Linked DNA regions of Coturnix japonica. The protein of the gene in region 1 interacts with the protein of each later gene in a biochemical or structural test. Links are inferred from orthologs where the notes say so. Each region holds a gene or a part of one and is shown on either strand. Other genes may lie near its edges.

Region 1 (3,803 bases):
AGCTCTCCTGCACAGAGCTTGGAACCCAAATGAGTGCACCTTGGACACAGGCAGCACTGGGACCCCCACCCCACAGCACAGGGCTGCTCTCAGTGGCCTTGGCTGTACCTGTGTGGGAGCGCAGGTGCCTCTTGAGGGCAGTGTGGCTGGGGAAGGTGCGGTTGCACTCGCTGCAGATGTAGCTGCGCACCCCGGCGTGCACCTCCATGTGCTGCTGCAGGGCAGTCTGTGTCTGGAAGCGCTTGCCGCAGAGCAGGCAGAAGACAGCCATGTCTGTACCTGCAAGAGAGGAGACAGAGGAGTGAGGCAGTGCCTGGGGGTCTCCCAGGGGTGGTCCTGACAAAGGGCACTGTGAGCCCCCGTGACCACTCAGAGCCACCAGCTCTCATTACAGACAGCAGCCTCACACACAGAGCATCTCTGGATGGGAAGAGCTCCATCACAGGGCAGAGACCCACAGCCCTCACTCCTAGGGGGCAGCAGAAGGGCTGGCAGTGGGACCGCAGCAATTCTAGCCCTTCAGCATGGAGGGGAAGTGCAAGAAGAGAGCAGGAGGATTTTATTGCATTGGGCACAGCTGGAAATCCCTTGCAGGCTTGCATCTCCACACCCTCAACCCAAATGCAAAGCACCTGCTTGGGTAATTCCCTGTGTTCTGATGGTTGGCTGCATACACCTGCGTGAGACAGAGCTCCTAATGCCAAAGAAAAGACAGCTGGATGCCTGAGCACCATGTAAAGCTGCTCTGGGTAATAGTGGACTAAACACAGAAGGACCACATGCACATCCCCAGCATTGCTTGTAACCCTCAATGGTAATGCCACCAGAAGCTTAATCCTATGAGCCACGTGCACAATGACAAAATTGGCTGCATCAACAGAAGAGTACATATAAAAGGGAACACCAACACAAAGATAGAGATACTTAAACACAGTCAATAAAAATATAAGACCTCTGTGTTATTAAACAATTTGTTTTAGTTTATGCATAGCTGATTGTTCAGAACCTATGAGTCAGTGCAAATTGTATTACGCCGGGAGATTAAGCAAATAAATGCTAGCTTTTTTGGAGACATTAAAATGGGAGGACTATGGAAATAAAATTATCTAGAAAATTGTATTAGCAATTCATTAGCAGCAGCAAGATGTTCAAGGTAAGCAACAAATACACACAACCTTTAAGACACTGTGGAGAATGGGAGGGCTGCTCCTTGCAGTGCCAAAATTGAACTGAGGGGTGCTGAGGATCAAAGCCACTACACAAGGGGGTGCTGGGGGAGCTGTGGGCACTGTGTGCTCCTGGCACCTGCAGTGTTGCTGATGGATCCCTGCTTGCAGCATCACCCCACTGAACAGGATGCTCCTCCACGGGCAGGTTGTGCATGCCCCTGTGTGCAGGGATGCTGGGTGAGCTGTGCAGCGTGCAAGCGAGCGACACTGAGAACGTGCAAATAAATGAGCAAAATGGAAATAAAACCACATAGCAGCGAGGTGGCCCCGGTGGCGATGCTGCTACCTCCCTCCTCACGGATTTATCTGGGGGACGCGCGCGCTCGCTCACAGCTGCACACAAAACTCTCCCAAGAGCCCAGGAGACACAAAGCCCGTCCGAGCGGGTGGTGCAGAGCAAATCCTGCACGGTATGCAGCCCGGCCGCGCTCTCACGGTGACAGCAGGACGGGTCAGAGGTCGGTGGGGCCGAGCCCCTGTGCCGCGGCCAGCTGTGCTATGGGGGCCCCGGCCGGCGGGACGCCAGCCCCCATCAATCCGTCGGGAGCAGCCCCGCTGGGGCCAGGGACAATGGGATCCTGCAGGGGTGGGGGTAGGACAATGCGGCCGGGCCAGTGCGCAGGCCCGGAACAAATCCTCCCTGGCACCATAGGGCCCTCATTTGTGAAACTAATTGGCCCCCGCTTGAAAAATTGGGCTATGTTGGGCCGCCGTGCTGGAGAGGAGCTGCCTTGTATGGGGAGTTAAGCTGTACAGTGGGACACGGCTGTAGGGTTGGGATTGGGATGGGTGGCCAAGGATAAGGTGACATGGATGAGGATGGGTGGCCAAGGACAAGGCGACAGGGATGGAGATGAGTGGTGGGGGACACACATCCCATTGCGTGCCCAACTGTGCTGCGATGGGGACACGGGGAGTTTGCAGCCTGGTGACACAGCAATGCAGCTCTGCAGCCACCACGCACTGTGCCATCACACAGCACACAGGCACCTCCATCACTCAACCATATCCATCTCTGAAAGCACAGCTGGCAAGGCAGGACCTGCTGGCAAGGAGAAAAAGGGGTGATGCAGGAAAAGCCCCACCTCCCCACGACGGCACCCCGTTGGCTTTGGAGCCATGGGGACGTTTCAATGCTCGGCCATTGAAAGAAAAATCACCCCCGATAAATAAACACCGCCACGTAGGCACAAAAAGAGGAAGACGGATTTATTCATTTCGCTGACGTTTTAATGGTTTCTCTCCTTTTTTTCGGGAAGATGATTACAAATTAAGCAGCATTTAAACGCTTTTTACTGTCAACAATTAAAAGGGGCGAATATGGAACAGAAAAGTGCGGTGACCATTCATTTCCAGGGAAACGCGGCTATCAGCGAACACCACGGGGCCTTCCCTGTACTGTACACCACACAATGGCAAAAAGTATACCATTAATTTTGTAGGACATTCAAAAGCAAATTAAAATATAAAAAGCTCTAGGCACAAAGATAGATACCAAGAGAGAGGGCAGAATAGGTCAAGCTTGTGGAATTAAAGTCTTAGCAACAGTGGAGGTTTAAGCACAGCCCTATTACGCTGCATTCAATAGCCACCTTCTCCCATCTTCCCTTTTTTCTCCTCTAAGAGCCGATGTGCTGTTTGCCTCCAGCCTGGAGCAGTAAACAATTAATACTGCGTGTAGCAGTGCTGCGGGTTTCCAAGGCAGGAGCGACAGGCTGCCATGTAGATGAGATGCTGGATACAGCATTAACTATTTGGAAGAGAGCGCCGCCCGCTCTGCGCAAGGCAGGTTTAAATAACAGGTGATGGGAGATGTGATTTTTGCAGGACTGATGCTTGCTCGAGGGAGGAAAAGCCCTGAGAGCGCAGCTGTGCGCATGGATATCCACGCTTCGCTTTCCAGGCTCCCAAACAAGTGCTTTTCCCCATGTATATAAAGGCAAGGGAGATGCATTTCCCATCACTCAGGGACTCCTCTTTTCAAACTTCAGGTGGGGAATGCTAAAATCTCCATAGTATTAAGCACAACGCTTCTCCTACGCCTTGACTCCACGCTAGAAGGAATTAACATGAAATTTGCCCGGAGACACGTAGGCATATGGCAAGGAATAAAGGTTTGTTTTTCCTCTTATTTTTAAAAGGCACCCGGTGCATTTCTGTACCACAAAGTTTAACATGCAGGAGGTACGCCGAAGAAATAAAAGAGACACGTCCCCTTTAAAAGGAAATATAATTTACAGTGTGCAGCCAGGCGGTCCATAGTTTCAATCTCGTTTACTATAGAGAAAACTCTGCTAGCTGTTCTCTATCCCACAAATCCGATTTAATCAGACAAGCCAGCCAGCGTGGCTTGAAGTAAAAACGGATAATTAGTAAACAGAGAGCTACTTCAGTGCTTCATTGGCATTCGAGCCGGGCTAGTGTGTCGCATTTAAAATGCAGTCTGATGAAGTTTACAAAATCAAACCATTTGTTACTCCTATTGAAGAGGCTTCAGGCCACTTGCAATTAAATTGGAATTAGTGCTCAGAATGAGATACAGCAAATTCATACTAAAAAGGGATCTGACTTTGA
Region 2 (4,440 bases), on another chromosome or scaffold:
GTGAGCCAGGGGGTTACCAAATCCGGCAGTATTCCTTGGAGACAACAACAACAATCACAGGAATGTTTAATTATGCTGCTGCTGTGCTGTGCGGAACCGAAACTGGCATCGGGGTTTTGGGCCTGGGAATTTAAGCTGCCACCAGGAACAATGCAGGGCAGGCGGCCATGCTAAATGTAACCTGGAATGGTGCCTAGCCACTGCCCTTGCCCAGTGTTTGGCATCACCAGTATTTTCTGGTCTGTCACCTGGGATGAAAATTATGCCAAACACAACACAACCCAAAGTGGTTCCCAGGGTGGTAGAGGACACAGACTGCTGGAGCAATGGGGCCAGTAGCCAGGGCAACCTGCTGATGTGCCACATTCTTTGGGGAAGCCACAAGTCCACCTGGTTAATGGCCTCACAATCCAAGCACAGTGGTGGCTCCAGGACTTATCATGGAGTCACAGGGGGCTGAGGCTGGTGGGGACCTCTGGGCCCATCTGGCCCAGTCATGCCCCAGCAGAGTTATCCGGAGCAGGGTGTCCAGCACTGCATCCATTCAGCTTCAGAAATCTCCCAGGAGACACCACAGCATCTCCGGTCGCTGTGCCAGCACTCTGCCACTGCTGGAACAACAGTGTGGCTGGATGTTCAGAGGCAACTGCCTGTGTTGCAGCGTGTGCTCTTCGGCTCCTGTTCAGGCACTGGGCATACTGAGAGGAGTCTGGCTCTGTGCTCTACATGTTCTCCCTTCAAGTATTTGTGGGCACTGATAAGGTCACCCCTGGGCCTCCTCTGAGCTGAACACTAGAGCTCCCTCAGCCTGTCCCATAGGAGAGGTGCTCCAGCCCCTTCAGCCTCTCCATGGCCCTTTGCATACTCTGTAGTTATGTCCTCTGACAAAAAGGACCTCCACTACCTCTGCAGGCTGCCGCACTGAGCTGCCTCCCGTCAGCATTGCTTGGTGACAGGGAAAAGAGACACACAGCTGAACCACAGAATCATGAAGGTTGGAAAAGGCCACTAAGATCACTGAGCTCAACCACAGGCCAGTCCCCCCCATGCCCACTGACCACGTCCCTCGGTGCTGTATCTCCACGTCTCCGGAATTCCTCCAGGGATGGTGACTGCTCCACCTCCCCGGGCAGCCTGTGCCAGTGCATCACCACATCTTCTGCAAATAAATGTTTCCTAATATCCAACCTGAACGTTCTCTGGTGTGATACCAGGCCGTCACCTCTCGTCCTATCGCTAGTGCTCTGATGGTTTCAGCCTCAGTACCAGTGCCAGTGAGGAGGTATCAGCTCCGAGCCATTGTATTCTGTTTCCAACACCTCTCGGGTGGTGCTTAGGGGAGCCTCGCTCCTCTCCAGCCCACTTTTCACGGTAGCATTAGGCTCCAAAGAGCATCCTGCGGCTCCTCGCAAAGCAGCGAACGCGCCCCGACGGAGGCGGCCCCGCGGAGCCCCGGGGAAGCCCTTCCTGGCGAGGGCCGGCCCCCAGCCCCGCCCAGCCCCTTTCTACCCTCGGCGGGGCCGTGCGGGTGAAGAGTCGCTGCGGAGCGGAGCTGAGTCGAGCGGCTGCCGGGACGCTGCGCCCGGTCATGGATGGGCGGGCGGTGCTGATCCACGCGCTGCTGGCGGCAGGTGCGGAGCTGGGGGTCCGGGGTGCGGGCACGGGGTGCGGTGCGTTCGGTCTCATCCCATCCCACCTCACCGCGCCTCGTTCTCCGCAGTGTGTTCGGCGGCAGTCGGAGGGTTCGGCCGCGACGGTCCGCACGGCGAAGCGCTACACAACGAGGTGCTGCTCCATGAGGGCGCCGGAGCGGCGTCGGTCCCGGCCACGGCCCCGCTGCTGGGGACTATCGCGGAGAAGGAGGGCGGCGGAGCGGCCTCGGGGGACGCGCTGAGCGATCTGCCCAGAGGTACGTGTGGGCGGGGGGGGACTTTGGTTTGGGGGAAACCCGGGGGTCCCAGCGGAGCAGCCGGCGGGGCTGGGGTGCGGCGGCGGGTCTCGGCCGGAGCGGGGAGCAGCTCCGGGGGACGCTCGGGGCTGCGCGTCGGGCTCCGGCCCCTTTTGCTCCGCGCCGAAGGTCTCGAGCGCTCGCGGGTGAAACGAGCGACAGCCCGAGTTCGGCTGGAGAGGGGAGAGCCGTGCTGGGGCGGCCCCGGGTCCATGGCGGGCCGGAGCCGCTTTCCCGAGCGCGACCCTACCGGTGGGGGGGGATCGCCGTGACTCACCGCCGCCCACACGCGGCTGCTTTTTATGCCTCGGGTTCGTCAGCGCGGAGTCTCGGCCGAGGTGCCGGTGGCGCCGCCCGGCTGTAGAGCGCTCCGCGCGGCGGCGTTCGGCTCCTCTGCCCTGGACGGAGGATGGGGGGCGTCCCGGGGGCTGCGTGGGGACGGGGGACCCGTGTCTGCCCGGCCCTGCTCTCGGTCACCCGGCACCTGGCGGAGGTGCTCGGCCCCTCGGGAGTCCCCCTCGCATCCCTCCACCCTGCTCCCTCCTCGTCTGCTCTTTGCCCACTACCGCCGAGTGCAAGCTCCCTCAGTGCCTCAAACGGAGCTAAGGACAAATAAGTCTGTCCAGTGTTGAAGTCTCCTTCCTTTCCCTTGCTGCGGCCCCCCAGGATCCAAAGCACGAAGGATGCTGTTGGTATCTATCCCCCTACCTGCTTGGGCCAGGGCAGTTTTCCCACTTCTGACTTTCAACACGGGGCAGAGCCGTGGGATGTGGGTTGATGACAGCAGAGGTTCTCAGTGGGGTGCCTGGGGGTGAGAGGACAACCCTTGCCCTAAGAGAGCCGCCTGTAGCCTCGTACGTCATTTGTGCTCGGGGGGTTTCTCCAAGCCCCAGTTTACTGGTGTATCGGTTTCCTTCTTCATCCTTGAAGGAGGTTGAAGTTGCGCAACGACTTCCTAGACTTGCAGATGGAGTTGTGCAGCACGAGAGGCTCACGCGTGGCAGGGAGGAGCTTGCTGAGGGCTCGCTTTGTGAGGGAGCTGCTGGGCAGGAGTTTGGAACTAGCCGGGTTTGATGTGCTGCCTGTTCCCCAGTGTCCCCTCCTCAGCTGGTGCCTTGCTCAGCTCCTGTTCCCACAGTGTTACTGCAGTTACTGAGCACTGTGCTCAGGGAGAGCTGAGCAGTCCCTATCTAAGCAGTGAGTGCCCTCTGCTATCGGCACCCTGCGAGGCTGAGTGGAAGAAGGGCTTACTTCTGGCACCTGCTTATCGTAAGTTATTCTAGTATGTTGCTGGTTTTGTTCCGTGTCTGTAGGGAGCGTGCAAGGAACTTGGTGCTCCAGTTCCCACCAGCCTGTCCGGGAGCTGGCCTTGGACCAAACCCCACCAGCTTATGTCCTGCAATTAAAGAATCCCTCTGCAATTCATGGGAATGCTTCCTTTACCATCTGCTTGGTTTTGCAAAACCAAAAATTGACCTGGGTTTGCCCTTTTAATCCTGCTCTTGTCCTGTGTGCAAGCATTCTTGTAACCACAGGAAGGAGCATCCCTCAGGGCCATGAATGGACTCTTACAAAAGACTGGGGAAATAAAAGCCAGATAAAAGCACAATTAGCAATTTTGTTTTGTGTTCAGTGGAAACTGGTGGGCATAATGGCAACATTTGAGATGCATAAAGCTCTGTTTTTTGCCCAGTTTCTTGATTACTCGCTCCTTTATTTCCTTTAGAATTACTTGTATGAATCAGAAAGGCCATGATATTTGTGAAAATCTGGGAAGATGGAAAAACGTCTGCTTGGGGGCAGACAACAAAGGGCTGCGCAAATGCCAGGGTTGAGTTGGCTGCAGCCACCGGGGCTGTGCTGCTTTGCCTTGCCTTTAAATGGCAAATTGAGGTGATAAATGTTCTCTCCTTTTGAATTTGTTTTTCAGTTGCTTTCTTGTCAAAGCCTCAAGGCCCAGTCACTCCCAAGAAGAAGGGGAATGGGAATAAAAGAAGAAAAGGAAAAGGCTTGGGGAAGAAGAGAGACCCGTGTCTGCGGAAGTACAAGGATTTCTGCATTCATGGTGAATGCAAGTACATCAGAGAGCTGGGTGCTCCATCCTGCATGTGAGTGAGTGCCGCATGCCGGGAAAGCCTTGTCATTGTTCCTTGAATTCTCCAGGCAGTGCAAAGGAAGAGCATAGGGGATATTTTTAGTGCTTGTTCCCCATTCGTGCACAGATCGCTCTGACTCAGTGTCCTCTCTGCACACTGCCGCTGGAAGAGCACTGAGAAACTTCAGCCAGGATTTGCTCCTTCGAGCAAACTTGGCTTTTGCCAAAACCCATCTGGCCTTAGGGCAGAGGCTCCGGCACCCCCTGCCTGCAGGGTGTCAGTTTGTGAGCTCCTCCTGAGCTTGGCAGCAGCTGTGGAGTTTGGAGGAGGTGAAATTGCTGTGGGGCCAAGGTGCTGGCAGAGCTGACTTTCCTTCAGCTGTAGTTGGGTCCAGAG

The links.
Region 2: the proteins of ZBTB16 (region 1) and HBEGF form a complex in vitro, tested with the Homo sapiens proteins (2 studies listed by BioGRID). The link is inferred for Coturnix japonica from reciprocal best matches to the Homo sapiens genes ZBTB16 and HBEGF.

What each region holds. Positions count from the first base shown.
Region 1 is NC_029539.1:3,821,190-3,824,992, forward strand, and holds part of ZBTB16 (zinc finger and BTB domain-containing protein 16), read right to left. Parts: intron 280-3,803; coding exon 109-279; intron 1-108. UniProt on the Homo sapiens protein: Acts as a transcriptional repressor. Transcriptional repression may be mediated through recruitment of histone deacetylases to target promoters. May play a role in myeloid maturation and in the development and/or maintenance of other differentiated tissues.
Region 2 is NC_029528.1:15,566,899-15,571,338, reverse strand, and holds the start of HBEGF (proheparin-binding EGF-like growth factor), read left to right. Parts: upstream 1-1,496; 5' UTR 1,497-1,588; coding exon 1,589-1,631; intron 1,632-1,720; coding exon 1,721-1,909; intron 1,910-3,878; coding exon 3,879-4,056; intron 4,057-4,440. UniProt on the Homo sapiens protein: Growth factor that mediates its effects via EGFR, ERBB2 and ERBB4. Required for normal cardiac valve formation and normal heart function. Promotes smooth muscle cell proliferation. May be involved in macrophage-mediated cellular proliferation.